Diceros bicornis minor: one gene and its partners. The protein of the gene in region 4 interacts with the protein of the main gene of each other region in a biochemical or structural test. Links are inferred from orthologs where the notes say so. Each region holds a gene or a part of one and is shown on either strand. Other genes may lie near its edges. The genes, in order: SYK, ITK, NRG1 and ERBB3.

The links.
Region 1: the proteins of ERBB3 (region 4) and SYK form a complex in vitro, tested with the Homo sapiens proteins (2 studies listed by BioGRID and IntAct, with this or other methods). The link is inferred for Diceros bicornis minor from reciprocal best matches to the Homo sapiens genes ERBB3 and SYK.
Region 2: the proteins of ERBB3 (region 4) and ITK form a complex in vitro, tested with the Homo sapiens proteins (2 studies listed by BioGRID and IntAct, with this or other methods). The link is inferred for Diceros bicornis minor from reciprocal best matches to the Homo sapiens genes ERBB3 and ITK.
Region 3: the proteins of ERBB3 (region 4) and NRG1 form a complex in vitro, tested with the Homo sapiens proteins (8 studies listed by BioGRID and IntAct, with this or other methods). The link is inferred for Diceros bicornis minor from reciprocal best matches to the Homo sapiens genes ERBB3 and NRG1.

What each region holds. Positions count from the first base shown.
Region 1 is NC_080761.1:55,627,999-55,635,750, forward strand, and holds the start of SYK (tyrosine-protein kinase SYK), read right to left. Parts: upstream 3,008-7,752; 5' UTR 2,832-3,007; intron 1-2,831. UniProt on the Homo sapiens protein: Non-receptor tyrosine kinase which mediates signal transduction downstream of a variety of transmembrane receptors including classical immunoreceptors like the B-cell receptor (BCR).
Region 2 is NC_080740.1:73,163,092-73,170,465, forward strand, and holds the start of ITK (tyrosine-protein kinase ITK/TSK), read left to right. Parts: upstream 1-4,288; 5' UTR 4,289-4,417; coding exon 4,418-4,555; intron 4,556-7,374. UniProt on the Homo sapiens protein: Tyrosine kinase that plays an essential role in regulation of the adaptive immune response. Regulates the development, function and differentiation of conventional T-cells and nonconventional NKT-cells.
Region 3 is NC_080768.1:30,156,385-30,164,021, forward strand, and holds the start of NRG1 (pro-neuregulin-1, membrane-bound isoform), read left to right. Parts: upstream 1-4,301; coding exon 4,302-4,968; intron 4,969-7,637. Other genes in the region: uncharacterized LOC128092250 homolog, read left to right, coding at 3,801-3,989. UniProt on the Homo sapiens protein: Direct ligand for ERBB3 and ERBB4 tyrosine kinase receptors. Concomitantly recruits ERBB1 and ERBB2 coreceptors, resulting in ligand-stimulated tyrosine phosphorylation and activation of the ERBB receptors.
Region 4 is NC_080756.1:12,681,095-12,688,433, reverse strand, and holds the start of ERBB3 (receptor tyrosine-protein kinase erbB-3), read left to right. Parts: upstream 1-4,005; 5' UTR 4,006-4,228; coding exon 4,229-4,310; intron 4,311-4,557; exon of another isoform or gene 4,558-4,638; intron 4,639-7,339. UniProt on the Homo sapiens protein: Tyrosine-protein kinase that plays an essential role as cell surface receptor for neuregulins.

The DNA of each region.
Region 1 (7,752 bases), on a different chromosome or scaffold from region 4:
ATTTGGTCAGACACAATTATAAGCTAATAGAAAGCTTCTCTGCCATTATATCAAAATGAAGAAATGAACTCTTCCTTTAAAGTCCAATCAGCCTAGTTTTTTCTTATCTTCCCACAATTGCTCAGTAAAAAAACAAAAAACAAACACCTCCTTTTCCAAGTGAAAAAGAACTAACTTGTTCAAATCCAAAGTAGAAGAGTGAGATGACCAGACGTAATTTAAGTCAGTCAGTTTAACTCCAATCTCTCTTTAAGACTCTGCCTTTTGATTTCAATTGCTTCAAAAGAAAAACAAATGTCCATTTGTTTTTAAAAAAATTCTCCCCAAAGGCCAAAATTCCTAATTTTTTTCTCCACTCATTTACAGCTAACCCAATCCAGAAGTGGAGGAAAATGTTAAAACTTGCAAACGGGGAGAGAAGAGGTGAGTTTGCAGATAATTGAAATAATCTATACAGTGAAAGTTGAGGAAGCAAAAATGAGCTCAGATTATAAAAGAGCCCGCCATCCCTCAGGCACAGTTGACAGACAGAGCCACCGCAGGGCTCTGAAACAGTACTTCTCCCAAGGACACACGGCAGCTGTAAGGGGGGACGAGACCCCCTGTGAGTACGGTTCCTGTTTGAAAGCACCTCCTTAAGGATGAGACATCCATCCTCACTCGGAGGATCTCCATGTGGGCCACTATCATTGAAAAGTCAGGAAGGTCTCGCCATTTCAGGGCTCCTGAAAAGGCGGCAACTGCTCATCTAATCCCTGGACAGTGTGACTTTCTGGCAACAGAAATGCAACTCGCTTTCAAAAGCAAACGGCAGCTCGATGGGATCTAATAGGCTCAGTCCCTGGGCCCTAACTCCAAAAAGCTCTGAAAAACAGGGTTTGGGGGTAAGTTTTAGGGAAGCTCATTTAGTGACCACACTTGCCCTAGGCTGACACGCAGCTATTTGTAGGCTGTCTTTATTCCCCTTAGCGAGACCACTCACACGGTCAGCGCAGAAACACTAACGGGTGAGACGGCAGGGCACTGCTGAGACCGCGCTGAAGACGGATGGCGCACATGGTGTCAGGACGCATGCGCACCTCTCTGCATTCTGAGAAACGTCCCTCTCAACGCTGAAATTTAGATTCTAAATTTGAATCCTAAAGTCTGAAAAATCCCGAATTCCAAAACATATCTTAGCACAAGGATTTTGGATAATGGTCATGGACATGCTATGTGCTGCATAAGTGGTATCCTACTAAGAAGTCTTTGGTTTAAAAACGGAGAAATCAGACCTACACTTGGAATATTAAATATGAGCCTAGAGAAGGCTGTGGTGAGTTATTTCTGAAATGCAAATCTAGCAAAATGATCTTTCTGCCAATTTCATCCTTCAGGAAAGGTAAAGACCTAAAGTATACACTTCATTTTTATCCCAGATTAAAACATTAAAAACATTCTAGTTATTAAGACTATTCATAAAATCTTACATATCGAAGCACTCCCAATACAGAGAATAATACAAATCAATTTCTATTTTACTGCAAAATTTCTCTAAATACATCAAATGTATAGATAGAACAAAATGATTTGATAAAATAATTTCAACCGAGATTTCTTACTTAAAACATCTAATATTCTACAAGTATTAAAATCTTTTAGCTCAAATACAAGTATATCCATGCACCATCTGGGCTTTTGGGGGGTGGGGGCACATCGATAAATTTAACTGCATTTAATTAAAATGCTGCCCGTGTAATAACAATAAATTTGTTCTTACTAAAACAAAGAAATCAGATACTAGAATCAATTCCATTTCTTCCAGAAATTCTCAGTCACCACATAATTAATTTTTTTTAATGTGAAGATTCAGATGTGGGACATCTCCAGCTCTTTAAACTACACGCTGAAATGCTTCGGGGATTTAAGAAAAAGAATGACTGCTCCAGTGAACAGTTTTACCAGGTGCAATGGAACCTTTGGCGAGTCAGGCAAACTCATGAAAATAATTTGCAACACCGTTTCCAACTTAAAAAGACTCAAACTCTAACTTCTCCAATGATTGTCTTTCTCGTTCTAGAACATTCAAACGACCAAAAAAATGAATAGCATTTGTACGATTATTTAGGTGGGTTTCAGGTTTTGGAGCCATATTGCTAAAAAAATATTTAACTCAAATTTTCATTTTACTACATGAAACTTTCCTGCTCTCCGAGCCACTCACTGGCTAATTAAGTTACTTTACCATGAAAATGCGCCGAAAAAAGAGGAATCATGGTAAATTTTAGTAGTGGTTCAGAGAGTTGCACGTTTTTATGCAACCGCTCTTTTTTTCTGTAGGAAAAGAAATGTATATAAAAACCTTTGCAGGCATACGAACATTTCTACATTGAGTCACTTCGCTAAATACAGTGGAGTTTTCCAGTGGATTTATGTAAAGCACGGCCAAACGAAAATGTGCTCTTTCGGGGACGAGTTTCTTGCGCCCGCGGATGCCCGCTCGCGTTTCCCGGGACCCGCCGCTTCCGCACTGGGCGCGCTCGCCGGGCTCCCGCAGTCCCGGCCCGCACAGTCCGCGGGCCAGCCCCAGCCGCCGCGCCCCGCGCCGGAGCCGAACCCCGAGAGGCACTAGGCTTAGGAGAAAAGCTGGCACAGCCTATCGTTTTATCCGAATGATCTCATCAAAATTTCCCTGATTTCAGAGGCCGAAGGCCCTGAGCGTACCTGCCCCGTGTGCTGGGCGCACAGAAACCCGCCCAGGAGGAGGACCGCCGCCTCCTCCCTCGCCGCCCGCCCCAGCCCAAAGGTCCTCCAGGTTCTCACGGGCGGAGGGAGCGCGCGGCCACTCCTACCTGTGCCAGGTGTGGCGAGGGCGGGGCGCGGGACTCCGGGGTCGGCGGGCTGTGCGTCCGCGGGGACAGCTCGGGGCGCAGCGCGGGGCCGTCCGCTCCTCTTCGCTCTCTCGCCGCCGGAGTCGCCTCAGCCGCCCAGCGCGCGGCGCTTCCTCATTTTGGGCAACTTCCTTAACGCGCCCGGGCAGGCCCCGCACTTCCTCCCGGCCGCCGCGCCCCGCCGCCCCGGGCCCGCCCCGCCGCCGTGCGCCCCAGCGCCCAGATGGTCCCAGCGCCCCCAGCGGCCCCAGCGCCCTGTGCGCCCCCAGTGCCCCAGCGTCCCGTGCGCCCCGGGCAGGGCAGCGGCGGCCGGAGCGCGCGGGGACCCGGTCCGTGGGGTGGGCCTGGGAAGCGGGAGGCGCGAGTGCAGAGGGGAGAGGAGCTGGTGGGCGCTCCGATTTCCTCCCAGGTGCAGAAGGCTGGTCCTGTACAAGGAAGGGGCCCTGTCACCAACAGGAACCTCTCGCCACCTCGCCTGCAGCCTGATCCTTCTAAGGACCGACAGCCACTCAGGGGCACGCCCATTTCGCTGTGTAGTTGCCCAGGAACAGAATCCTGTTCACTGTGCTGTGTATTCCCAGTCACCAACCCAAGACGCTCCTGCCGGCCGGTGACCAGGAGGCCCCAGGAATCCGCCAGGTGGCCTCTCCCTTAGGTGAACGGCAGACTTCACGGGGCACGTCAGGGCGGGCCCAGCAATGTCTGAGGCGGCCGTGTTCTGAGGGCTTTCATGATTACAAGGCTCTTGACAGTGAGTTTAACGTGCTTCCTTCTACCCACAACCGGTTCTGACGTCTGGGGCTCATAAATGAAGTTTAATCCTTTTCTGTAGTCCTTAAAATGGTTTAAAAACACCTACCTGCTTCCCTTCCCGCTTTTTTCTGTTGGACAGCTCTGTTGCAAAATGTTCCCATAAAACAGCTTCTAGACCCTCACATTCTTGGTAACAGTAGTTGGCAGTGCCTATTTTAAAAAGCTATACCCTGAGCCAAAATACAATAACCGAAATCAAATGTATAGTGTGTTAGTATAATTGCCATGGAGAAAAATAAGGTCATCAGAAGTGTTGACACTTTCCCACTTGGACATTCTCTTCCATGCCATTTTGCCGTCAAATTTTTAACCCAAGTGAAGGATTTTTATTATGATTACATTTGTTAACCACTGGACTTGACTTTGCCTCAAACCAACAACGAAATAGCCACTGTTCTCTGAACGGAGGCTGCGGATGTCTCTATTCCGGAGGCCTTGAGAGCTGGCGGTGTCGTTGGAAGTAGGAGCCTGGGGACCGTCCTGTGTTTGCTAAGATTGCTTGTTTCTCAGGGGAGGCTAATGAGAGGAGGTGAAGTTCTAAATCCATCTCCAAGCCCCCCTCTAGCACTGCTGTGGTCCTTCTCACTAATTCACTTAAAAGTGAATTAGTATTCTTGGAATGAATTTTTTAAATAAAAATGTTAAAATCATCACGCAAATACCTAGACAAAAATCTTCCTAAAAGTCATCACATTTCTCCCAGTCTTTCTTCCTGGGCCCATGTGCCGCTTCCCTTTGCAGACTTTGCTTTTTGTCTTTCACTGTAAGAAATCTCAGCTGTGACTCTGCTGAGTCCTGGCACCTCACACCCAGATGGTCTTGGAGACTCCTGACACAGTCACTTTTTAAAGTCTCCCATTCCTGTAGATTCATTATTTCTTAAAAAATAATAAATATATTTGTTTTCTGGGTTTGCTGTATTAATTCCACCATATGAAGTCTCTGGTGTCTGCTTACGTTGTCAAGTGTTCCACTGGCTCTGGTTCATGGTGCCTGGCTTCCTTGTGTTCTTGGTTACATTCAACTGTGAGCCGCTCATCCTCCTTGAAAAATTATTTGTGGAGATTCGTTGAGGCCTAGGAAAAAGGTATTTTCTTTCAGAGGAAATTTGCCTTTGTTTTCTGGCAGAAGCCTAGGGTGCAACTAGTGTTTGGACAATTTAAGGTGGATTCTCAGCTTATGTTTTTTTGGACCATCAAGGTGATACAAATTTGGGCTGGAAATTTGGGGACAATTTTGGTCAACCTGTGGTTACAGTTTCTCAAGGATTCATTTCTTCTGCTTCTGCTCTGGCCTTCCTTTCATTTTTCTTGTATCTAGGAGTCCATGTTTCCTGTATTCCATGCCTTTCTCTTCCTCAGTTTATTCCATCATTTCAGTGGAGCACAATTTCGAGGAGTTTCCTGAGAAATGGAAGTAGATATTTTAAAGACCTTCCATATCTAAAAAGGTTCTACTCTTCACTTTTTTTTTGGTGAGGAAGACCAGCCCTGAGCTAACATCCGTGCTAATCCTCCTCTTTTTTTTTTTTTTGCTGAGGAAGACCGGCTCTGAGCTAACATCTATTGCCAATCTTCCTCCTTTTTTTCCCCCAAAGCCCCAGTAGATAGTTGTATGTCATAGCTGCACATCCTTCTAGTTGCTGTACGTGGGACGCGGCCCCAGCATGGCCGGAGAGGTGGTTCGTCAGTGCGCAGCCAGGATCTGAACCCTGGCCAGCAGCGGAGTGCACGCACTTTACCACTAAGCCACCGGGCTGGCCCCCTACTCTCCACTTTGATTGATGGTTTGGATGGTATAGAATTCTAATTCAGAAATTATTTTTCTGCACAATTTTTAAGTCATTTTTCTATTGTTTTCTTGCTGCAAGTGCTGCTGTTGAGAAATACAAACCCTTCTGAATCTTTATCCTCTATCTTTTTATGCTGATGCTTTATCCCTTTCAGCATAGTTACAAGTTCATTGTCTGACCTTCCCATGCTTGGCAGCTCTCTCCAGACCTTCTTTTTGCTCTGCTCCTCTGTGGGAGACAGCTCCTGGATCCTTATATCAGATCCTTTTTCTTTTCCCTTTTTGGGTTACAGTTTGAGGGCTTATGACTCCTTCTATGCCTGATTTTCTACAGCCTTCGAGCAGGCGGGGCTTAGCTGGAGTCCTGCTGTGCTAACTGGGCTCCTCCTCCTTCCACAGGAGACTGGGTTGAACCTAGGAGGGCTCACCCCTCATGGCAGAGGGAGAGGGAAGAGCTTACCACACTCTTTTGGGGGGACCTTTGCACATCAGCTCAGTCTCCCAATTCCTGTGGGCCCCTGGAGCCCTCACACTCGTGACAGAGTATTGCCAGATTGCTGCCATTTCTCTTTTTCCCCTCATCTCCACCGCAGCCATTTTTACTACCCCATCATCAAAAAGGGGAAAAGCTAAGGATTAGCAATTACTCCTTTTTCTTCTCTTGAGATCTGAGTGAGAATTGTCAGGATTTCGTGGACTCACAAGATGTGTTTTCCGGGAGGTGGGCTCATGACCCCACCGTGATTCTCTCAAACTTCCGGTTTTTATATGAGCCAGCACTTTTTGAAGTTTACCTCCTTAAGTGCTTCTCCTTTTGGTTACTATTGGTAACTTTTACATTTTTGTTTTCTCCCCCTTCCCTTTTTTCCTTGGGGAGGGAAGGTTCTTTTTTTTCTAGATAGTTCCTGAATATTTCACCACTTTATCCAGAATTTAATGCCACACCATTTTTTTTCCTATAGAATATATATCGTACATTTTAATATTTAGAGTGCAAGGTCCTCAGTTTTCATCTCTTTCAAATTAAAAATACACAGGGTACACATGATATCCAATAGGATGCTTTAGGTTGCAAGTAAAAGAATACTCAACTCCAACTATTGAATTCATAACATTTTATTGGCACAAAAAGGAGGAAGCTCCAGAGTTAGGACAGCATCACGTGTACTTTTATACAAATTATTTTAAGTTGAGATAAAATTCGCACAACACAAAATTCACCATTGTAACCATTTTAAAATGTAGTTGTACCTTTTACAAAATGTAACGACTCAACCCTATCTTGTCTTATGAAGGCAAGTTAATCTTGATAGACCGGCATTGCTGACAGAATCATAAGATGAATTACTTTATCTCAGTGCTTCCCAACGCCTGGTCACATCTGTCTATCTGCCATAATGCCACAGAACGCTGGCTTCCCTCACCAATTCAACTGGGATATAAAAGTGACCTTTCACTTACAAATGGCAGACTTCCTTCCTTTTCTGCTGTCAGCGAGGTTTTGAGCAGAAAGACAGAAAAGTTACTTGAGGACAAAGGATGGCATTTGAACTTAGACCATATGCGTCTAAACCCCGGGGTAAGAACACGGACCGGGGGTCGGAAAACGTGGGCTATCCTCCAAATGCTGCCCTTTCCTGGGCGCGGGGCTCTGAGCAAGTCAGGTCTCCTGTGTGCACCTCTGATTGCTTATTTTTTGTGAAATTCAAGCCAGCTAACAATTATTGTGTCTCTCATTGCCAGACACAATTCTAAGCACTGGAGATTGATGAAAAAGGTTGGGAAAATCTATGCTCAAAAGTCACTCCCCCTTCTCATATCTCAGCAGGTGACCATGCATTTGCCCAGCAGACTCCTCCTTAAAAATATACTTACTTCATTGGAAGGTAGTTCAAGCTGTTATTTTTGCCTTAATGAAAATCACTTCAAGCAAATGGCTTTTTGCACACCAAGATCTTCTAATTCTTTTTTCAAAAGTACATTTCAATTTTAACATCTTTTTTTTGATATGATTTACATGTTATATGACTTACCCATTTAAAGTGTGCCATTCAGTTATTTTAGGTATATTCACAAAGTCGTGCAACCATCACCACAATCAATATTAGAACTTTTTTTTTTTTACCACAAAAAGAAATCCTGTACCAATTAGTAGTCACTCTCCCTTCTCCCCCCTCCCACACAACCCATCCCCTCAATACACACATACCCCTAGGAAAGCACTCATCTACCTTCTGTCTGTATAGATATGTCTAGTCTGGACATTACATATAAATAG
Region 2 (7,374 bases), on a different chromosome or scaffold from region 4:
TTTGTTTTCTTAAGTTTTCATTGTGGAAATTTTCAAACATACAGTAACACAAGGAGAATAGAATAAAGAACCTTCACCTACCCATCACTCAACTTCAGCTCACTGACAAATATTTTGTCAACTCATGGACAAGCATTTTTCATCTCTTCCCCTACCTATTTCTCCCCCTCCCCTGGATTATAAGAAAGCAAATATTGGGCATTTTATTATTTTATCCATAATTATTTCAGTAAGTTTCTGTGCATAATAAGGACTCTTTTATTTTTTTTTGTGAGGAGGATCAGCCCTGAGCTAACATCCAATGCCAATCCTCCTCTTTTTTGCTGAGGAAGATTAGCCTTGAGCTAACATCTGTGCCGATCCTTCTCTACTTCATATGGGAAGCTGCCACAGCATGGCCTGACGAGTGGTGCGTCAGTGTGTGCCCGGGATCCGAACCTGCGAACCCGGGCCGCCAAAGCAGAGCGCGCGCACTTAACAGCTGTGCCACCGGGCCGGCCGCCTAGGACTATTTTAACATAACAACAGTGCCATTATCACACCTTAAAAAATCAATAATAATTTAATAATCAAAAATGCAGTGTTCTGATTTCCCAATTGTGTCATAATGTCTTTATACAATTAATTTGTTTGAATCTAAATCCCAACAAAATCATCACATGCTTGATATGTCTGTTAAAGGCTCTTTTAATGTATAGGTTCTCTTTCTGACTCATTTGTTGCAGACACGGGGTCATTTGTCTTGAGCGTTTTCTGTATTCTGGACTTATGTAATTGCATCTTCATGGTGTCATTTGCCATGTTTCTTTATCTCTTGTATTTCCTGCAAACTCGGATTTAGATCTCGAGGTTTGATGAGATTCTTGTTTGATTTTTTTTTTTGGCAAGACTTCTGCGTAGGTGGTTTTGTCTACTTCCTATTGCATTACTTCAGGAGACAGGTAATGTCTCATTGTCTCTCTTTTTGTGACGTTAAGATTGATCCGTGTGACACAGTGTTATTAGTCTAATATGTAAATTATGAATTTTTTTATTTGCTTTTCACATAATGATTTTAGCAGCCATCAATGATCATTGCCTAGATCAATTATGTCATTAGGATTGCAAAATGGCAATTTCTATCACTCCTTCTTCATTTATTAGTTGGAATTCTTCTCTAAAGAAAGACTTCCCCTCATTAAATAGTTGATTATTAAACTGAGATATAATTCTTAAGGAAAAAACAGGAAATATGTTTTATTCTTTTCTTTTGTTTTCCAGTTTTCAGAATAATAAATTGGTTCTCCAGCATCCTCCAAAAGTGATCCATGGGCTGGGTTTTTTTTTTCACGTACCTTATGAACTCATGATTTTAACATTTTGGCTCTTCTTCAATTAATTGCAGTTATTGTTCTTTTTGATGCCTGAATTATTCCATCTTTGGCAACTGAGAGCTTCTTGAATTTGGCTCCTGTGAGTTGGACTTGCACAAACCAAAAAAAAGAGGTTATTTATTTTTATGTATGTTTTCCTGAAAGTGATGGGGGAAATATTGGGCCTCTTAAAGTTATATTTAGGTCAGGGCAAAGACCAGTTGTAGTGAGTGGGCTTGAAGACGCTATGGAGAGAGAATAAAATTACTTATGATCGTACTCTATGGAGACTTGGCAAGTGAAAGGTTCCTATTACAACAGCTACTGATGATATTTTGCTTTCCCAGATGAGAACACTTTGTGAAGTCTGTAAATCTTTTAACCTGAACCAACCAGGTATAAATCTACCCTTCTCAAAGAAGTTTATAGTCTAGTTTGGAATATAGCACTATGTTGTTATAATTCGGTTTGTTGTTAGTAACAGAACTTCAAAATACCAGGGACCTAGAAAATTGAATTTTATTTCCCTCTCTGTGAAAAAAGAAAAAGATGATCTCAGGCTGGCATGGAGGATCCAGGGTCGTCAGGGCCCCCGGCTTTTTCTATCTTACTCTCCATTATCCCCCACCTCATGATATAAGATAGCTGCTCCAGGCCTAACTATCATATCCACATTCTAATCAGTAAGAAGGAAGAAAAACAGAAGGAGATGAGCAAGATGACTACCACTAAGAACACGTCCTAGAAGTTGTGCTCATCACTTCTGCTATGTTACATTGGCTAAAAAACAGTCATATGATTGAAAAATATAGTGTTTATTCTGGCTGGCCAGATGCCCAGATAACCTTCAGGGAGTCAGTTACCCAAGAAGAAGGGGAGAGTAGATATTTTGAGAAAGCAGCAATCCCTGTCTTAAGCGCATATGCAGAAGGAAAAAAGTAGTATATCTTTTGGGCAGTGTACTTTCACACATATGTCTTAAAACCTCAGAATGTGGGAGGGGGAATTATTTAAATATCCCTTCCCCCACCATCCTGAGTGTCTCAATTATGCTAGCACATCTAATATATGAAACAAAATTAAGCTGTAGTCTGGTAATTTACATTAAAAAAAAATTTTAGGTAATTGAACTCCTATATAACAATAGTGGTTGTTTTACTTCGTTTTTTGTCCCTGACCCATATATGCCACCTCTGCTTACACTGCGATTTCTTGGTTATTTACTTCATGCTGGAAATAAGACTCTCATGCTGTACTTTGACTGTGTACTAATTCTAAGACAAGATACATGACTAGCACCCACCGCTCCAGCGTTTATGAGATTCAGTCCTCAAAAGGACCCTCACAAGGATCCTTAGTCTTAAGGATCAGCGAGGATAAGTAGCTTGCTCAAAGAGAAACAGCTTAGTAAGTGACAGAGATGGGATTCCCATATAAGTTTGTCTGTCTTCAGAGCCCATACATGCTTTGTTTTTTATGCCATTCTGAAGGGTTTACATATTTTCTGCTCTTCGACTAAATTTTGGGATAGAAAAGCAATCGTCTGTCTGTAGCACAGAGAAACTTCTATGGGCTTTCATTTAAATTTTGAAAAATAATAAAATTCAATATATTTCTCTTAAGTGTTTTATGGTCATTGTCTCTTTTAATTGTCCAACCCAGTTTGGTGATTATTCATTCAACACATTTTTCTTAAACATCGTTTTTATGTGCCAGCACTGTGATGGTTGCTGAGTATACAATGGTGAGCAAAACCACACAACAGTCCTCACCATCATGGAGCTTCTAGACCAGTGGGGGAGACAAACATTAATCCAAATTCACTCTCCAAAATGTACAATTACAACTGTCATAAGGAATGTATAATTTAGAGTTAACCAGGCAAAATAGGGGAGAAAAGATATTTTCAGATAAGATACGCAGATGTTCAAAGCAGCATAAAGAGCAGGTGCGAAGGCTGGAGTGAGAACTGAGAACGCATGAATGTGGTATGAAATGAGACTGGAAGGAAGCCAGAGAGCAGCCCTGTAGTGCCTTGTGTAGGGGCACTATTATTCCCTTTCACAGATGAAAAAACTGAGGCTCAGAGCTCTTGAGGAATTTGGCAACAGTCTCACAGCTAGTTAGGTGGTGGAGGCAGAATTCAAACTGTGGTAGGTAGAAAAATGGCTCCCCTAAAGGTGTCCATGTCCTAATCCGTGGAATTTGTGAATATGTTAGGTTACATGACAAAGGAAATTAAGGTAGACGATGGAATTAAGGTTGCTAATAAACTGATCTTAAAATATGGGGATTATTTTAGATAATCCAAGCAGGCTCAAGGTAATCTCAAGTGTCCTTAAATATGTAAGAGGGAAGCAGAAGAAGAGGTTACAGTTGTATGGATGAGAGAACTTGACCTGCTGCTGTTGGCTTTGAAGATGGAGGAAGAGGGCCATTAGCCAAGGAATGCAGGTGGTCCTAGAATCTGGAAAGGCCAAGGAAACAGATTCTACCCTAGAGATCCTCCAGAAAGGAACACAGCGCTGCTGACCTCTTGATTTTAGCCCAGTGAGACCCATTTTGGACCTCTGAACTACAGAATTGTGAGATAAATTTGTGAGCCACTAAGTTTGTGATAATTTGTTACAGCAGCAATAGGAAACTAACGCACAAACGATGCCCATTGGCTCCATGGGCCCATGTTCCCACCCTTTGTGCTACGTGCCTTAACTGTTGGTTGGGCTAAACCAGGAACTATAAAGATTAAACTCTAATCCTTCATATCATTTTGAGTTTAAGGTTCTTCATTTTCAAGCCATACAGCAAAGAGTATGTATAATTTTTACATGTGCCTCTTGGTTTTGTGAATTTTGAAAGGATGTGGTTACGGCCTTTGACATCAGAGCAGAGGCTCCGCAATGTTGACTGAACATTGATAGAAAGATAACGTTGGAGGCAAGGTGCCTTTGAACAACTCTCTGAAGATCAACTGCCTCCCCTTCGCATTCCTTGCCCTGAAGCCGTTTCCTCTGGTTGTGCTAAGGGGTGATGCCCTAGGCGCATCACTTTTCAAGAATTGGATCATGAACAACTTTATCCTCCTGGAAGAACAGCTAATTAAAAAATCCCAACAAAAGAGAAGAACTTCTCCCTCCAACTTTAAAGTCCGCTTCTTTGTTTTAACCAAAACCAGCCTGGCATACTTTGAGGATCGTCATGGGGTACGTGAGCACTTTGTTTTGTCTTTTTTTTTAAACAATATTTTGTGTTTAGACTGGGCTGAATCCATGGACTGAAATAAGAAGACAGGGAACACAGACATGCTTGTTATAACACCTAAAAAGTACAATAAGAGTAATCAGAAGAGAAGTGTGCAGAAAAGTCAAGAGATGCGGTGGGTGTGTTAGGCAATTTCAGTTCTAAAAACTGTAAAAGAGTTAAGTTTAGAATTCATTCACTTTTTCCTCTCTGAAAGTTTAATTTTAAAATTATAATATTTCATATGGCAAATGTTATGATTGGATACAATTTGAACTTCATTTAACATATACTACATTTTATATAACATAGATTAATAAAATATTAGCGATCAGTGGGACCTAAGCAGTGATCTAGCCCAGTTTATTTAATTTATAGTGGAAGAAACTGGTACTTAGAATGGTTCAGTGATGGGTCCAGTGTCAACGTTTCTATGAATTTAATTCTGTTTGTCTCAATGTTCACCACTCACCTGATGTCTTGGAATAATATTCCCTGGGCATTTAATTGTCTAAAATTTGCAAGGCACAGTGGTAAACTTCTTCATCCCTTGGAGAACTTCCCAGGAGACTAGAGTTACCATGTACAAAGTGTGATGCAGTACAGACCAGAGGTTCTTATCCAGATGATTACAGAAAAAACTAGGTCAGTCTTTTTATCTAACTAAATATATTCCTATATTCCATAACATCAGTAATAATAAAAGCAACATGAATAATCATGACAATGTAGTTTGGTACAAAAAGCACTGATCGAGGGGTCAGGAGACCAACTCTATTTCTCTCTAGGTGAGTTAGCCGGGGCAAATGTGTCTACCTTCTGTGTCAGGTTCTTTTTTTATAAAATGAAAGGACTGGAAATACCACCTACAACTCTTCTTTCTTCTTTAAAAATCCTTTGTTTCTATTAAATAGCACTTGGTTAACCCTTCTCGCAATTATTCCAAGCATGTTTGACTTCTTCCTATATCATTGTATTGTTTTTCCATCACTAGGATGGAAGGGCAAGGGTTTTCGCCTATATTTATTTTACTGAAGGGGAAATAACACTAGGTGCTTGATGGTCACTTAGAGACAAAGGCGCTTCGAATCCTTATTGGCATCTGACTTAGTAGGTGTAGGCATGAGTTTGGGGTCTTTTGAGAGTCAGGCTTTGAAATATTCAATGAAATGGAGTCCTGAGTGAAGCCAGGCTGGCTATGGAGGCTATGGATGCCTGGCCTTTTAAGCTGCGGGTGAAATAATACTGGCTCTTCTTTGGAGGTGAAAAGATGTGCTCATCTTCAGCAGACTCTTACTGATAACAATCCACCAATCATTCAGAAAGGAAATGGAATTACTCATGGGCAAGGCCTCTTTGGTTGGTGCCCAATAAGTATTTGTTGACTAGTTAATAGAGGGCCAGAGGTTATGTTATGAGCTTGGAGGATTCATCATATAGAGCTGATAATCCACATGACATCAGTCAGTTTTTTCTTTTTGTGAATAAGATATTAGAAGTTCTTGTTTCATATTGAAAGAACAGTCATTTTCCTTTAAACCTTTTTTTTCAAAGCCCATTTTATAGTTTTCACCAATTTGTTGTCCTGACTCAACACAGCATCGTCTCATTTAGTTAGTACTGATCATTCCTGAGCAGCTTTGCTGTTTGTGAACTGTTTGGTTGTGAATTCAGTATCGTATTATTTGCAAATAATCACACAACCAAATGATCTTAATTCAGAATTTTGTTGGTTATAATTTGCACGAAGACAGTGTTGTGAAATCACTTCACTTCTTCATTTGAACATTATGAAAAATTCCAGGACAATTAATTTATTCTGGGGAGCCCTGGGCTATAGTTTTTAAGACTTCCATGTGGGATATAGCAGATGTATGACATACAAACATCAAATTTCTTATTTTCTAATGCCCATAGCTTATATCATAAATAACATTTTTTTAAATCATTTCTTTAGATATTATAGAAATTTATTTGTTAGAAATTTATCCAAGGTCCCTGAGAAAAGTAAGATGTGTGAGTTATTATTGTTTATGTCCTATGTATGTTCCATTGTTTAGGGCCATCAGTTTGCACACAAGAGTGCATTGTGCATTGCCCATAAATAATAATAGCATTACACTTGTGGAAATAAACTTTTTATTTTTAGATTAAAGCCTCAGTCTTCCCATCTATAAAATGGGTGTAATAAAAGTACTTACTTCATGGGAAGATGGTAAAGATTAACAGAGAGAATGTATTTAGACTGAACGATTTGAATTTACCATTTGGTAGATCAAAAAAGGTCAGATATTGCCAATTTCGTATAGTTCAACTTAATATATAAAGTACCTAGCAGAAGTCTGGTCACCTAGTAAAATTGAGCTATTATTTGTATCATCGTAATATCTCTGAAGGAGCGAGCAGGGTGGCATAACACATTTGTTTTCTAATGAAGGGAGACATTAAAGGATTCTTCAAAGTCAGGCTAACGTAAAGCTCCTGGTTCCTTCTGTTCTGTGGCTGAATACAAATCTGTGGGGAGAGGCATACATGCATCATGAGATGCCTGATGCTGGGCCAACCATTGCCCCTCTCAGGGTCTCAGCTTCTTTTTCTCTTTTCTTATTTGTGAAATCATGTTCCTTCAGCTCTAAAATCCTGCGAATTTATGACATCATATGGAAAATAATTCTTCTACCTATTCAGGAACAAATTCTGTACTTCTGCAAATTAAGTATGTTTTTTCTAACTTGAGATATCCATGCCTATTGTCATTATAATACTGATTGAGCCTTTTATT
Region 3 (7,637 bases), on a different chromosome or scaffold from region 4:
CTGAGACTGTGGAAGAGCTCGTTTAATTTAAAGTCTAAATAGAGATACTTAAATAGCCTATGATTAATCCTTATAACTTTCGCAACTCACTAGGCAAAATCTTAGAAGGCTTTTTTGGAAACTAGGCACCTTTTAAGTGTGTTTACCAGCTACATTAAGGTAATATTGCCTATTTCATTGTTATGCTTTCTGGGTCACTTATTCTCCCCTTGAAGTGGTAGGTGAGGAATACATAATCAAATGCATTCTTTTAATTAAAAAAGAGAAGCAGTATTTTTCAGCAAAAATAGCATGAGTCAGACCTTTGTTCAAATCTTGGCCTGTCACTTAATAGCTGTGTGTCCATGGCTAAGTTACCTAAGCCGCCTGAGTCTGTTTCTTTGTTTTCCAGATAATATGTATTATACAGGATTAGAGAAGATCAGAAATAATGTATGTTAAGAATCTACAGAGTGCCTGGCGCAAAGGTGGAGCTCAATAAATGTAGCTTTTTTTGTATGAAGGAGGTGGTAACGTGGTGTTAAAAAGGCAGTAAAAATATGTCTCTTGTTCATTTTTTAAGGGAACATGGAAATATGGGTTCCTTGAGCTTTATTGGGGTGTAGCCTAAAGGGTTAAAGTGATACATCCTTGCACTTCTTCCTACAAACAGGCATGTTTTATCCAAAGGAAATTTCGATCCCTGTCCCATTCACACTACCCTTCCTCACTTCTTTATTGCTATAGAGAATTTGATAAAGGGATAAAGACAACTTCTGGCTCCTAGTCCAAAGGGTAGAACTATTGGAGAATTCCTTTTATTCTGTACCTCCTGTCCTACTCCCTTTCCTCAATTATTCACTTTCCAATTTGGTGGGAAACAACTTTATAGGATGCTGGCTCTCTGCACTCTGATCTTATCTCCAAGGTGCCACAAGGTTCATGGAGTACATCTCCAAGGAGGACACATGCACATCCCACAGTCTGATTCGTGCAGTCCAGGGGACGGAATGGCTGTGGTGGCCCACAGGATTCTGTCTCTGATGCTTTGGCCTAGTCTTTGTATAATGTGTTATTTTCCTTTGTAGGAAATTACTCAGCACTGTTCTAGTTGTCATATTAAAGATGCGTGTTTCTAATATGACAGCTACAGCAGTGCCCAGTGATTTCTTTGTCTGCTGAATGTGTTTGTTCTTAACAATTATGGTGAGGTGAGTAGTTGTGATTGGTGCAAGTTAAGGACCACTTTTTTTTTTTTTCATGAGGAAGATTGGCTCTGAGCTAACATCTGTTACCAATCTTCTTCTTTTTGCTTGAGGAAGATGGTCCCTGAGCTAACATCTGTGCCAGTCTTCCTCTACTTTGTATATGAGACGCTGCCACAGCATGGCTTGATGAGCAGTGTGTAGGTCTGTGCCGGGGATCAGAACCCACCAACTCCGGGCCGCCAGAGTGGAGCACATGAACTTAACTACTGTGTCACCAGGCCGGCTGCAAGGACCACTTTTTACGTTATTGGTTACTCTTCTTGGTGTCTTCTCTTACCTGCCTGACTTGGGCTACCTGAACCCCATTTTGGTCTTTGAAATTTAGATGACCTTGGCTGTGGATAAAATGCCAGTGGATTATACTTGAGTATAATTTTGGTTTGGGGCAGAATTGAGGAGTTAAGTGCCACATATTTACACCGGGTGATCTCTGAAGGAATTATAAGTTATCCTAATTTAGCGTAAACATTTACTTGTTTATATTGTTTTTGAATATTTACATGAATAGTGATCATTAAAATCTTAATACCTCAGTTGGAATACTGCAAATGCTTCAATATAGATTTTCTATGATATGAAATTTTATGTCCATTGCTAGAATCTTTCAGAAAGCTCTCACTGTTAAAAATAGAAACTAGGCATAGGAATTATTTTAAAATACTGGTGCATAAATGCAGGTTATGTAGAGGTGAACTTCAGGATAACTCATTTTGCCCATAAGCTTGTCATAGTCATAATTATGATTATGCAAATTTGTTCAGGCTTTTGTTGTTGTTAGTTACAGTACTACAAGCACATTTTAAGATATGAATGCCCCCTAAATCATTTATAATTATGGACTAATTTCATTTTGAAAGAAATGATAATATTCTTATCTCATGCCCACTTAAAGCTTAAAAATATTTCAAAGCAGTGGAGATTGTGCTATACAAAATATCATGTGCTTAAAGCAGATTTTTCTCAGGACTTGAGCTCTAAATTTTATTGCTTCTGGGACTCATATGATGGTTATGTAGTATAGATTTAGAGAGAGTTTTTAAGACTCCTGTTGACATAGGTGAGCAAAATGGTTCCTTGGAAACCATTCGGGTGTCCAGTCACAGTAAAGCGTGGATTAAAGGTTACGATGCATATAGTGTGCGCTGACGTGTAACCAACGGGAGGTTTGGGGGACCATGTGCTCTCTATTGAGGACAGTGCACTTCTTCCCAGTATCTTAATGACTGCTATCTTAAAAGGGGGGAAAAAATCAACATTGAAACTATCTGTAAGGTAATGCTACTGAAACCTAACCCAAAAGGCATGCTCTAATAGAAAACTCTTCTTAATACTTTCAGTGTGGTTATAGCTGAGGACATGTGGTATATATTACAGCACTCAGGGAATTCAAACCTCCGCAGTGTGAAGTCACAATGAAGGCTAATTTCAAAAAGAAGTGGTAGCCTTTGCTCCCTTCGTAGCTCTGTTACTTCCCAGGGTTTCTTATTAGCTTGATATTCATCTAGGACTGCTGTGAGTGGCACAGGGAAATGGAAATTTAAAGAGGACCAGAGTGGGGACGTATGAGTCTCTCTCCCCTCCCCTAGCACCCGCCTCCTTCACCATACACTCAGCATTTCACACTGGGCATTACAAAGTCTTACACAATCATTGCAAAAAGGGCCAAAGGCAGAGCTGTCCATGGTTTGAAAGAAATGTTCGAACTGTTGGTTGAAAATCAGGTAATAACAGTCCTGTTGGTGAACAAAACTTACTGGAGGGCTGAGGAAGGAACGCTATCTCTCAGCAGCAGGCAGGAAGTAATTGCTGCTTGAAAAGCTTACCTCTCTAGGGAGGAATCAGATATCAGACTTTGCCAAGCCCCAGGTCCAACCCAGAAGGTCCCACCTACATCCCCAGCCTCAGCCCAGCTTTGTTAGATTGCTAGCATCGATCGCTGCCTTTTCCTGACCCAACAGTGGGTGCAGGAAAGAGAGCCAGCCAGACTGAAAGCAAGCAAGGTGGGGGTGGAAGACTGGGGCCGCTTTTGCAGAGAGAAAAAGAGAAAGAGAAGAAAAAGGGTGGGGGCCATGGGGACCAAGCTTAACTGGTGCCTGCCTGCTTCTCTTTGATTTGATGGCCTTTATTCCTTCTAATTGGATAAAATAGGAAGTCACTGGCAGTCCTGTGTTGCTGGGTATACTGATTTTACTCAGACCAGCCAAGCAGCTCCAGAGTGCGGGTAGAGGGTGGGGGTTGGGAGAGGAGGGAGGAAAAAGAAAGAGAGAGAGTGAGAACGTCTTTGGATGAGGAGGGGAAAGAAAGAGAAAGAGACTATGAAGAAGGGAAGAGCCGCAGAGGAAGAAAGTGAATGAGCGCTCAAGAAGGACAAAGAGGAGTGGTTGCGGGGTGGGGGTGGAGGCAGGGCGGGGAGGGGAGTTACCGCCCCTCCTGGCCGCACTCGTCCCTTCAGATCCCTCTGTGATGATACTGTTTGCAGTGATGCTCGGAGGGCAGGCACCTGCTGCTCTGTAATGATTCAGCCTCTTTCAGCCGTCGCGTTAACACAACAGGATGCTGTTGCTACTGTCGCTGCTGCCTCTCCTGCCGCCGCCGCTGCTGCCGCCGCCGCCGCCGCCGCTGATTCTGCTCTTGCTTTTACTTCTCCTGCATGACAGTTGTTTTCTCCATCTAAGCAGACACCAGCTTCAGATGCTCGAGGTGAGAAACATGCCTTTCAGTTTGGGCTACTGGTTCACTTAATTGACCAACCATCAGCTGGATTTCTATTCTGGCCCCTGCCCTCTTGACTAGCACGGATGGTTTGGAGAAGCATTTAAAAGAACTACTAAAGTGGCCCAGAAACAGCAGTAAAGAATTACCATATACTTTTATTTGGTAGTTGCTAGGGGCTTTTTTTCCTTCCTTCCTCCTGAACTCCTCTTGCTTTTGATAATGGCCTTGGACTTGGACGACTTATCGATTTCCCCATGTAAGATGCTGTATCATTTGGTTGGGGGGGGCCCTGCCTGGTAATGGACCATGAGAGAGGCCAGGCCTTCTGGAGGTGAGCCCATGGAGATCTCTTCCCCAGACATGTCTGGGGTAGCTGCAGAGAGGTGCTCCAGCCCCTCCACTCAGCTGAGTACAGACCCATCTCTTGACGGGCTTCCGGCAGCTGAAGACATGCCAGAGACCCAGACTGAAGATGGGAGAACCTCCGGACTCGTGGGCCTGGCAGTTCCCTGCTGTGTCTGCCTGGAAGGCGAGCGCCTGAGAGGTTGCCTCAACTCGGAGAAAATCTGCATTGTCCCCATTCTGGCTTGCCTCGTCAGCCTCTGCCTCTGCATTGCCGGCCTCAAGTGGGTATTTGTGGACAAGATATTTGAGTATGACTCTCCCACTCACCTTGACCCCGGGGGGTTAGGCCAGGACCCTATTATTTCTCTGGATCCAACTGCTGCCTCAGCTGTGTGGGTATCATCTGAGGCATACACTTCACCTGTCTCTAGGGCTCAATCTGACACTGAGGTTCAAGTTACAGTGCAAGTTGACAATGCTGTTGTGTCCTCTGAACCTTCAGCGGTACCCACCCCGAAGAATCGTATTTTTGCCTTTTCTTTCCTGCCGTCCACTGCACCATCCTTCCCGTCACCCACTCGGAGCCCTGAGGTGAGAACACCCAAGTCAGCAACTCAGCCACAAACAACAGAAACTAATCTTCAAACTGCTCCTAAACTTTGTAAGTAGAGAGAGAGATGGTGATGGATAAAAGAAAGGGTGGGTTGGAGATCCTAAAAGGTGTTCTCCAGGGCGTGTAGCTGTTTCCTCTCCTCCTTGTATTTTAATTGCCTGGTTTTGTTGAAGCCTATCATGTGACTGGGATGCTTGGGCTGGCGTTGAAGAGATGAGTAAAAAGATCTTGTAAACTCCTAGTATGAATCAGTGCTCTAACAGAAGCTCGCTCTAGCCAGATGGTTAAATCTGGGGTGGGGGGCCCAAAACTTCAGCGTCTGAGTTAAATTCAATTGATTTCTAATACTTTTTAAAATTAAACGTCAGCCCATCCTGTATTTTTTATATAAATTTGATTTTCACATAGCAGTGAGTCTGATTTTGTGTCTTTCTTTTTCCACCATAGAGTTCCTATCACCTCTCCCCAGCTTTCTGATACCCTGTGCCTCCCAGCCATCCCAAGCTGCCTGTTCTCTTTCTCCATCTCTTCTTCCTGTTCCTTTAACCACTTCTCCCTGCATTTGTGTTTTAATTGGTTCCTCCAAATATTGCATCAAGTCTTTAGACATTTATGATGCTCACCTCTCGCCAGCGTCAGGCTACAGCTGTCCTACCCAGATTGTAGTTTCAGTTTCTGAGCACTTACGAGAGGCAGCTTAATTTTGTTCAGAACACAGAATAATTCTGCATGAAAAGATTTTCCCAGATTAGTTTTGTCTTCTGTAATCAAATGTTTAAATAGCTTCCTTGGCCGTTATTAAAAAGTACAGAATACATTAGTAAGCTACGTCGTTTTTTTAGACATGTGTCATTTCGCCCATCAGATTGCAGCAGTCCAGTTTAATAATCTGTGAGTGAAGAGAGCCCATGCTGTTGAAACAAAACAGAACAATATACTGCTGTTTGTACCTGGTCATTGCAATGCTTTGTAATGGAAAGTTGACAAGGATGAGACCGTGACTAGTCAGATTGTTCTAAACATCAACGTATAACGGAGGAGTTTTCTATAGCTCTTTTTTTTTTTACATTTCTAATTTATTGTTGTTTCTCTATCTTCTATCACTTTTACCATTGATGAATATTTCTTGAGTAGAAAAAAGTAAAAGATCAGAGGATTTGGTTCTTAAAAACGTGTGTAAAATCTCTTAAAGGAGAGTTGAGGATAAGGCTTCTGTGATGAAATACCCCGTTTGCTTCCCTCTAAATGGAAATGAAGAATAAAAAATATCTTTTCCAGACATTATGTTCAGGATGAGGGGGATCCGTGTGTTACAGAAACAGAGAAAAACTTGATTTGGGCTTATGAATCAGGATCATTTTATACACACCAGTTTTAGTGGCAAAGGTTTAAAAAAAAAAAGAGGCTTGTTTTTCAGGTGTAATTAGGGAAGAACGTCCTACTGCTTTGTATCTTTATCAAATCCCTGAAGCATCATTAAAGGTCTGACAGACATCGCTGCATTCACTGCCTCTTCCCACCTGGCAAAGTGACCGGGAAATAATACCCAGATGAAATGACAGGCTATAAAAAGCAAGTCCAAATCCTGCAAAGAGAAGCAAAATTCACTATGCAGACAAGGTTACTTCTTTGTCTTTATCATTTTCAACTTAAGTCTTTAATTAAAATGTGCCTGAATAGGTCTAGTTGTCCAGAAAAAGAAAGAAGACTCTTTGAAAAACTCAACTAAATTCTATAATTCTGTCCGCGGAAAACAAGCAAACAAAGAAATACCCAGCACATTTTCCTGATCTAGGACCATATCAAAAAGTATGTCGTGACGTTTTGAGAAATTATTTTTTAAGGGCAATTCTTCTAGCAAGTGTTTTAATAGATTACACATTCCATATAGTTTCTTTTCTTTTCGTGTTTCCAAGCCAGAGCATTGATTTTCTGGCATTTGCTTTGAGTGGAAAAGATTTACTGCTGCCTAAAAGCATCCTAGGGGCCAGTTCTGGCCAGATGCACAGCTGCAGTGTTCTGAAGTCCATTGGAGAGAAGCCTGGAAAAGCAGTCTGGGAAGTGCTGGTCTCCTGAAAAGTTAGGGGAGAGTGTTGGTTAACACTTTACAGCCTATAGGGTTTTCTGTATGGGAAACTCTGTGTTAATTTTTTGATCTAGTGCCTGAAAACAACAAAAACACTAGTATCCTAAAAATTGTGTTTGTTTTTTTTTTTGGAAAGGGGTTGGTCCAGGGAGCTTTGTTTTCAGAAACTCATAAGTGGTTGTTATTGTTGTTTAACAAGCTTGTAAACATTAACTAAAGGAAAGCAAAAAAAAAAAAAAAGCTTGGAATTAGATTGTCATTTTATAATCTCTTTCACTTTTTTCTTTTCAACTAAGAAAGTATTGCTTAGTCATAGAAAGAACCAGCACTTTCCTTTCATCATGCGTGTTTTTGACATGAACTAAGCTGTCATGGCATATATTTTTAAATGACATGATCATATCTGAGACATGTTCTTCAGTGGTTTCAGGACTTTATTCTCCCTTTTCTATCTGTCTCAGCGTTTTCCGCACATTATGCACAGAGCTGTAGCCTTCAAGGTCATGGTCTGTTGAGGGCTAATTGATTCTTCTTTATCCTGGAGCCTGAGAGAGGGGAAGAGAGACAATCCTAGTAATTGTGTCTGCTGTATTATTCCCCAAACCAGTCTGCCTACTGGTATTAGGGTGTT
Region 4 (7,339 bases):
GGGAGATTATGGGGATGAGGAAGGAGAGATTACCAAAGGACATGAGGAAACTTTCCCAGGTGATGGATATGTTTGTTATCTTGATTGTGGTTATGGTTATATATGTATGTCAAAACTCAGCAAAGTGTAGACTTTAAATATGTGCAGTTTATTGTGTATCAATTATATCTCAATAAATGTGCTGCAAGCGTGGGGAAGAAAGTCTTTAAAAATATCAAGATCACAAACCATAAGAAGTAAAATCAATTAATTAGATTATACCAAAATTAAGGATTTCTGTTCAATAAATAATATTATTTACAGAGTTAATGATGAAAATTGGGAAGAGATATTTGCAATGTCTAAAGTCAATGAAGGTCTAATATCTGAAATATACAATAAACTGCTGCAAACCAATATAATAAATATGAGAATCCCTATTAAAAAATTGGCAAAGGAAAATGAATAGGCAATTCATAAAAGAGAAAAACCAAAAGTAAGAAAAAGTTTGAGAAGATGCTCAAATATTAAGAATTAAAGAGGGCCGCACGTGGCTTAGCGGTTAAGTGCACGCGCTCCGCTACTGGCGGGCCCGGGTTCAGATCCCCGGCACGCACTGACGCACAGCTTCTCTGGCCATGCTGAGGCTGGATCCCACATACAGCAACTAGAAGAATATGCAACTATGACATACAACTATCTACTGGGGCTTTGGGGAAAAAAATAAAAGGAGGAGGATTGGCAATAGATGTTAGCTCAGAGCTGGTCTTCCTCAGCAAAAAAAAAAGAGGAGGATTAGCATGGATGTTAGCTCAGGGCTGATCTTCCTCACAAAAAAAAAAAAAGAAAAAAAAATTTCGTTAAAAAAAGAATTAAAGAAATACAATGAGATATCATTTTGAATTCATGGCAAATTGAAAAATTGGACACTTGAATAATGTCAAGTATTGACAAGGAAGTGTGGATATAGAAATCCCACTATTGATGATGTGATAGTCCAGAGAGTGTGGAGCTCAATATGCACGAGAAATGATCACAGAACCAAAGGAGACAGGTAGGAGGATATTCTGCAGCATAGCTCGCGATGGCAGGAAGCTGGAGGCAGTCATTGGATAGTGAACAAATAAAGTATAGGGATCTGGCAGTAGTTAGGAGCAAAGGACTAGAAGGCCATGGGGTCAAAGAAGGTTAATTTGTTTTGTTTTATTTTTTTAAGGTGGCAGATAGGACAGCACGTTTGTATGCGAACAGGAATGATCTAGTAGAGAGGAAAATTGATAATAGAGGAGAAAACGGATAATGCAGGAGAAAGGCAAGAAGGAATGGACTGAGGTGTAGCACTGAGGATGGGGGTGGGGGTGAGGGTTGGGGGAGTGACAGTTGGCTTAAAGAGCAGCAAGGACCGTTCATTGTAACAAGACGGAAGTCAAAGTATAGAAGTGAGGATGGAGGTAAATTGGCCAGATTGGTGGTAGAAAGATAAGGATGTTTTCTTTTGATTACTTTTATTTTCACAGTAGAATAAGAACCCAAGTTATCAGCTAAGAGTAAGGAAAGATAAAGGGATGGTGGATAACTGCAGAGAGCTTTGGTAAATAAAGCCTCTCTCCCTTCCTTTATTCAATCAGGGCAGCACCCAACAGAGACGGCCCCTTACTTGTCGGCTTTATCCAGTGTTTATAACCCTGATGCTTAGCATGATGTATTGAAGAATGGATACCAGCAAGCACACCCTGGGATCTAGTTGGGGAGGGGAGGGGTGGAGTTGGTGATCACAGGAAGAAATACTGCTAGTATTCATGGAATGCTTCTTAAAGGTCAAGCACAATGAGGTAAAGAAGAGCTCTACCTGCTTTTTCTTATGAAATCCAAACAACAAACTTATAAGTAAACACAACTGTTCTACAAACAAGGAAACTAAGGAGGGTTTCCTCCTTCAGAACCAGGGCCTTGAACACTAGTGTGAGGTGGATGAGTAATCAAATGAAAGGCCCCTGAAGTGGTGTTAGCTCAGTTATCTGGTGGGAGTTTGATTCTGAGCAGATGAAGCTCCAGTCTCAGTGGGACATAAGAAATCCTAGGTAGGGGCCGGCGCCGTGGCTCAGCGTTTAAGTGCACGCGCTCCGCTGCTGGCGGCCAGGGTTCGGATCCTCGGCGTGCACGAGGTGCCGCTTCTCCCGCTGTGCTGAGGCCGCGTCCCACATACAGCAACTAGAAGGGTGTGCAGCTATGACATACAGCTATCTACTGGGGCTTTGGGGGAATAAATAAATAAATAAATTTATTTAAAAAAAAAAGAAATCCTAGGCAAAGGGGCCGGCCTGGTGGCGCAAGCGGTTAAGTGCCCCCGCTCCGCTGCCTTGGCTGGGGGTTCGCCAGCTCCGATCCCGGGCGCGCACTGTCGCACTGCTTGTCGAGCCATGCGTCCCATATAAAGTAGAGGAAGATGGACATGGATGTTAGCTCAGGGCCAGTCTTCCTCAGCTAAAAGAGGATTGGCATGGATGTTAGCTCAGGGCTGATCTTCCTCACACACACAAAAAAGAAAACCTAGGTAAAAACCTGCACCCCTTCTCCTGATCATCCACTGTCACCAAGAGGATGACCTTGGCGAAGTCATGCATTTCCAGTTCTGTAAAATGGAGAGTGATGTCACCTAGCTCACATAGTTTTTGTAAGTGAAACATTCTCTAAGTTTGAGGCAACGCTTGCAAGTGAGGTGGTATATGTATGTATATGTTAATGTTTCCTGGTTGCTATTACTATTTCAACTGTTATGCAAGTGGTCAAGGCAAGGCCAACGCCCCAGGGGCAAAGGTAGCCTCCAGCAGAGAATGGGCTTCTAGAGTGCATATCAGTACGGAGAAAGTTTAAAGAATTTTAGCCCGCAGTCTTGGTTCGGAGTGAGAGGCGAAATTTTTCTTCATCGAGGCTTAACTGTTATTGAAGTTTTCAGGCTTGAAACTCTGGGGAAAATAATTAGGCTCTCTGGGCGAGATCCAGAATGCCAATTTAAGAGATTAGAAATGCAACGCCGTGAGGGGCCTCACTGCCGCCCGTTGGGCACCAGAGGGCGCCCGTCGGATCCGTTCGGAGGCCGGCAGGGTTTGGGGCAGCCACTCGCCGTGCACCCGACCACCTCGGGCCAGGATCCAGGAGCTGGTGCTGAGGTGTCAGGGGTCCACGTCATTAGTGGACGCAGTCTCTAGTGCCCCTTCCCCCTTTCCAGCGCGAGCCGAGGCTCGGAAGGCGCCTGGGAAGGTGTGAGCGCCTGTGGTGGGGACGGTGTGCCCATCTGGGTCCGCAGAACAGCGGCGGGAACTCCAGCCGCCCCGACGGCGCGGTCAGACTCCAGCGTGGAAGGGGAGGCAGCTGTTCTCCCAGGCGGCCGTGGGGGGCAGCAGAGGGGACGGCGACAGGTGCGGGAGCCCCTCCCGGGGTGGAAGTGGAAAGGCGGGCTTCGGGGTCTGTTCCCAGGCTGGAAACCACCCCCGCCCCCCAACCAAATCCCCGGGAGAGGCCGGGCCGGCGCCGGTCTGGAGGAGGAAGCGGCCGGAGACAGTGCAATTTCACGCGGCCTCTGGGGCTCAGGTTCCTCGGCAGGGTGGATGAGTTATGGGGTTTCGAGGGGTTTCCGGGGAAACTGAGGTGGCCTGAGCGTGAGGCAAAAATACCCTCCCCCTCAAAAACACACACAGAGAAAAACATCCACATTCGAAGACAAAATCCCCCAAGTGACCCAACCGGCTAGGGGAGTTGAGTGATTTGGTTAATGGGCGAGGCCAACTTTCCGAGGGCTGGGCTTTCGCGCGCTCTCCCCACCCCCATTACCTTTCTCCTTCGGAGGCATTTGGGGCGTTTGGAATCTTTACGTTCCCTTAGTCCAGCTCCTGAAGAAAATTAGGGGGAGACCCATCCTGGATCTGCTGGGCCAAGTCGCGGGGCAGTGGGGCGTGGGGCGCGCGGGGCGGGCCGTCGGAGGCGGCGGCAATCCCTATCCAGCCTCGCGCCGGAGGGGGCGCGGCCGTGACTCACCCCCTCCCCCTGCCTCCCTCCTCCGCGCTCGCAGACACACACCCTCCCCTGCCATCCCGCCCCGGACTCTGGCTCCGGCTCCGGTTGCAGTGTGTAACCTCCTCTGCCGCCGCTACCAATTCGCTGGCGGCTCAGGTGGCTCCGCTTCGATGTCCTAGTCCAGGGGCCCCCCGGGCCGGATTCGGCTGGGCTCCCCTCACCCTCCGCTAGCGTTATGAGGGCGAACCGGGCTCTGCAGGTGCTGGGCTTCCTTCTCAGCCTGGCCCGGGGCTCCGAGGTGGGCAACTCGCAGGCAGGTAAGCGGCGCGGGAGCACGGGCAGCTCGGACCCTGGGGTCCGAACCGAGGACGCGGAGCCCTGGAGGGCAGGGGCTCCCGCAGTGTGACGCTCGGGGTGCTGACCCTGGGTCCGCTGGGACCACCTGGGCGGGCACTGCGACGCTGGGGTTCTCGGCGTGGTCCGGGCGGGGACGGCATTCCTGGACCACCACCACCTCCTCCTCCCCAGCGCGTCGCTGACCCTCGAATTTGTCTCTCCGGATAGGGCTGGTGCCCAAACAGTTCACACTTATGAGGGGCCCTGCCGGGAGGGGAGCTGGGACCTCCATTCTGCAAACTTGAGGAGGTGATTGGAGGTGGAGAGCTTGGCTGAACGGGGGGGGGGGTGTCTCAGTTTGCTCCCCAATGCCCTGCTCCCCCTGGTTTCAGCACCCGCCAGTTTCGTTGTTTTGCCGACAGGGCGGAGCTATGGAAGGGTTGGAGGGGGTTGTTGTTCTCTGGTGCTGGAAAAACAAGAACGGCACCTCCTCTTCCGTGAGTGGGCCTGCCCTGGGGAGGGCTGAAATTAACCAGAGGGCCACGTCCAGGTAACATCAGGGTGAGAGGCCACGCAGAGACTGACTGCCCTCTTTCCCTCAAAATAATAAAGCTAGTTGGTCCCCGACTTGACCAACCTCTCTTTGTCAAGATCCAGATCAATTCAACGAGTATTTATTGAGCATCTACTATGTACAAGACCCTGGGCCGGGAACTGTAGAGTAAAGGACTTCCAGCCTTCTCTCTGTCTTTTCTCTCCCCAACCCGAGGATCAACAGGGCATCTCTCCCACCTTCTGAGCCTCCTGTCCTGGGGAGTCCTTCCTAGACCCAGCTTCTCACCCACCCCCATTCTGTTTATTGTTTGACTGTCTCTAGGACTCTGGACTAAAGTCAGATTGCTCTTCTATTCCTCCTCCCACTCCCATGCCATATGAGCCCCCTCCCCCTTTGGGGCATCTCTGGGACAATGGACACCTGAGGGGTGCTGGTATTGCTGGCATTGGAGGAATCCTGTTGATCTTTTCCCTTCCCCCCAAGATCTCAGCTTGGGGTTTGTCACAGCCAGGGCCCCTTCCCCAGGGTGGGAGTGGGAGAAACACCTGTGCTTCCCCCACAGTTGCTGGGCCTAAATTTAGACCCTGGGATCTTGAGATGTGAACACTCCCAGCTGGTGGAGGGCGGGGGTCTGGGGACTGGAGTGGGAGGGACCGAGTAGAGTGACTGTATCACTGTCCCATCCAGACCCCTGGAATCTTCAACCAGGAACCCAGGAGTCCCAGATCCTGGCCACCTTCCCATAGGGCGCCAGGAGGCAGGCATGGTTGGGTCTCTTTACCCTTTATCTGGATCCTGCAGCCTCTGGGCATCCGGCCCTGTCTCGGTCCTTCTATAGCCCCTTTGTCCTGGCTGTGATGGGGGTGGGGGATGTTGGAGAGGAGGCCTCTGGTTGAGGAGGGGCTGGAGATTCTTGCTCTGACCCACCCCAGTGCTCTCTACCAAATGAGGGCCTGTGACACTGCCCCTCCCTATGCCCCTGGTCCCTGAGTACAGCAGGGATTTTTATAACTCCCTTCCCCCTGCCTTCCTCCCCAAGCTGCTGGGTTCCTCCTCAGAGGTGTTGTTCTTACTCCCTTCCCGCCCAGGCCCTTTGCTCCCTGTTTGTGTAATACGGACTTTACCCTCAGGGTGGCAGGGAACTGGGACCTCTAACACTGTAGCCTTCCAAGCACAGACACCAAGTCTGCCCAAACATATATGGGCAGGTGAGATGGATAGGGTCACCTGAAATACTTCCCATTAAGGAAACCCAAGGACAGAACCAGTCTAGATTTCTGGGCCAGCAAGGGAGCTATGTACATGTTCCTCTGTATGTGTGTGTGTGTCTTGAGTGCGTGCATGTACACATACACACACACCACTTCCTTCTGCAGAAATCTTGGCTCCTCCCTTATCTAGGGAGAAGAGTTGGCGCCTTGACTTGGAAGAGGGGGTGTCCTGCCAGGAAGGGGGTTGGGGTGGGGCTGTTCCAGAAATGACTAACCTTCCTAGCCTCTTTCTTTTCAGCCAAAGGACCCTGGAGTTCCTAGGCTCCTCTGGTTGCTTTACCCCTTTACCCCTCTGCTGGGTCTAGCCCACCCCTTTCCCTTTGTGGGGGAGTGATGGCGAATGAGAGCCCTCAAAAGTCAAGTGGTCAGACTAGGGGTGTATCTAGGAGACATTGGGGCCTCACCAATCTCCCTCCATTTCCACTCCTGCCTCCCACTGAGCTCCACCGCCTCAGGGAAGGGTGGTTGGAACAGGTGGTATCTCCCCCCCAACCCATAGTCTTTCACTGAGCCAGAGGAAAGAGACAGGGATAGGAGTTCAGGGTCCAAGATTTCCCATAGCCCCTATGTTCTCCATACTTACAAGGTAAAGTGAACCCCCAAGACTGACACCCCTCATGAACCTCAAGTCTAGGCACTCCCCCGACGTGAGTGGGGGTTGCCATGTTGGAGGGCTTTTTAATGAATCTCTTCTGACAATGAAATTGAGTGGAAGGCTCAGAATGGGGGGAGTCTGCTGCTGTTTCCCTCCAGGCTTCTTTGTATTTGCTGAAAAATACTCTTGGGCTGGAAAGTGTGATGCTGAGGGAGCTGGAGTGTGTTGGGATAGGGGAAGGGAGTGAGAAGGGAAGCCAGGGTTTAGGAAGGGGGGACAGGGTAGGCAACCAGCTCTTTATCTTCTAGCTTTGAAGACAAAGCTCACATTGACCCCACCACCACCACCACCAGAGCTCCCCCCTCTGGTGAGGTCACTTGTCTGAGCCCAAGGCTTAAGCGTAGAGGGGGGGTACTGCTGAGGACAGGGTGTCTGGGGACAGGGTGGGGCAGACCCCTCCTCCTAGATAGAATCGCCTCATTGTGGGCTGGACTGTGGCCCCAGGCAGTGCCCCCACCCTCTGCCCCCATCCCACCCTCAGTAGACACAATAGGGGCTGTGTGCTAGCCCCAAAGAGATATTTATTCC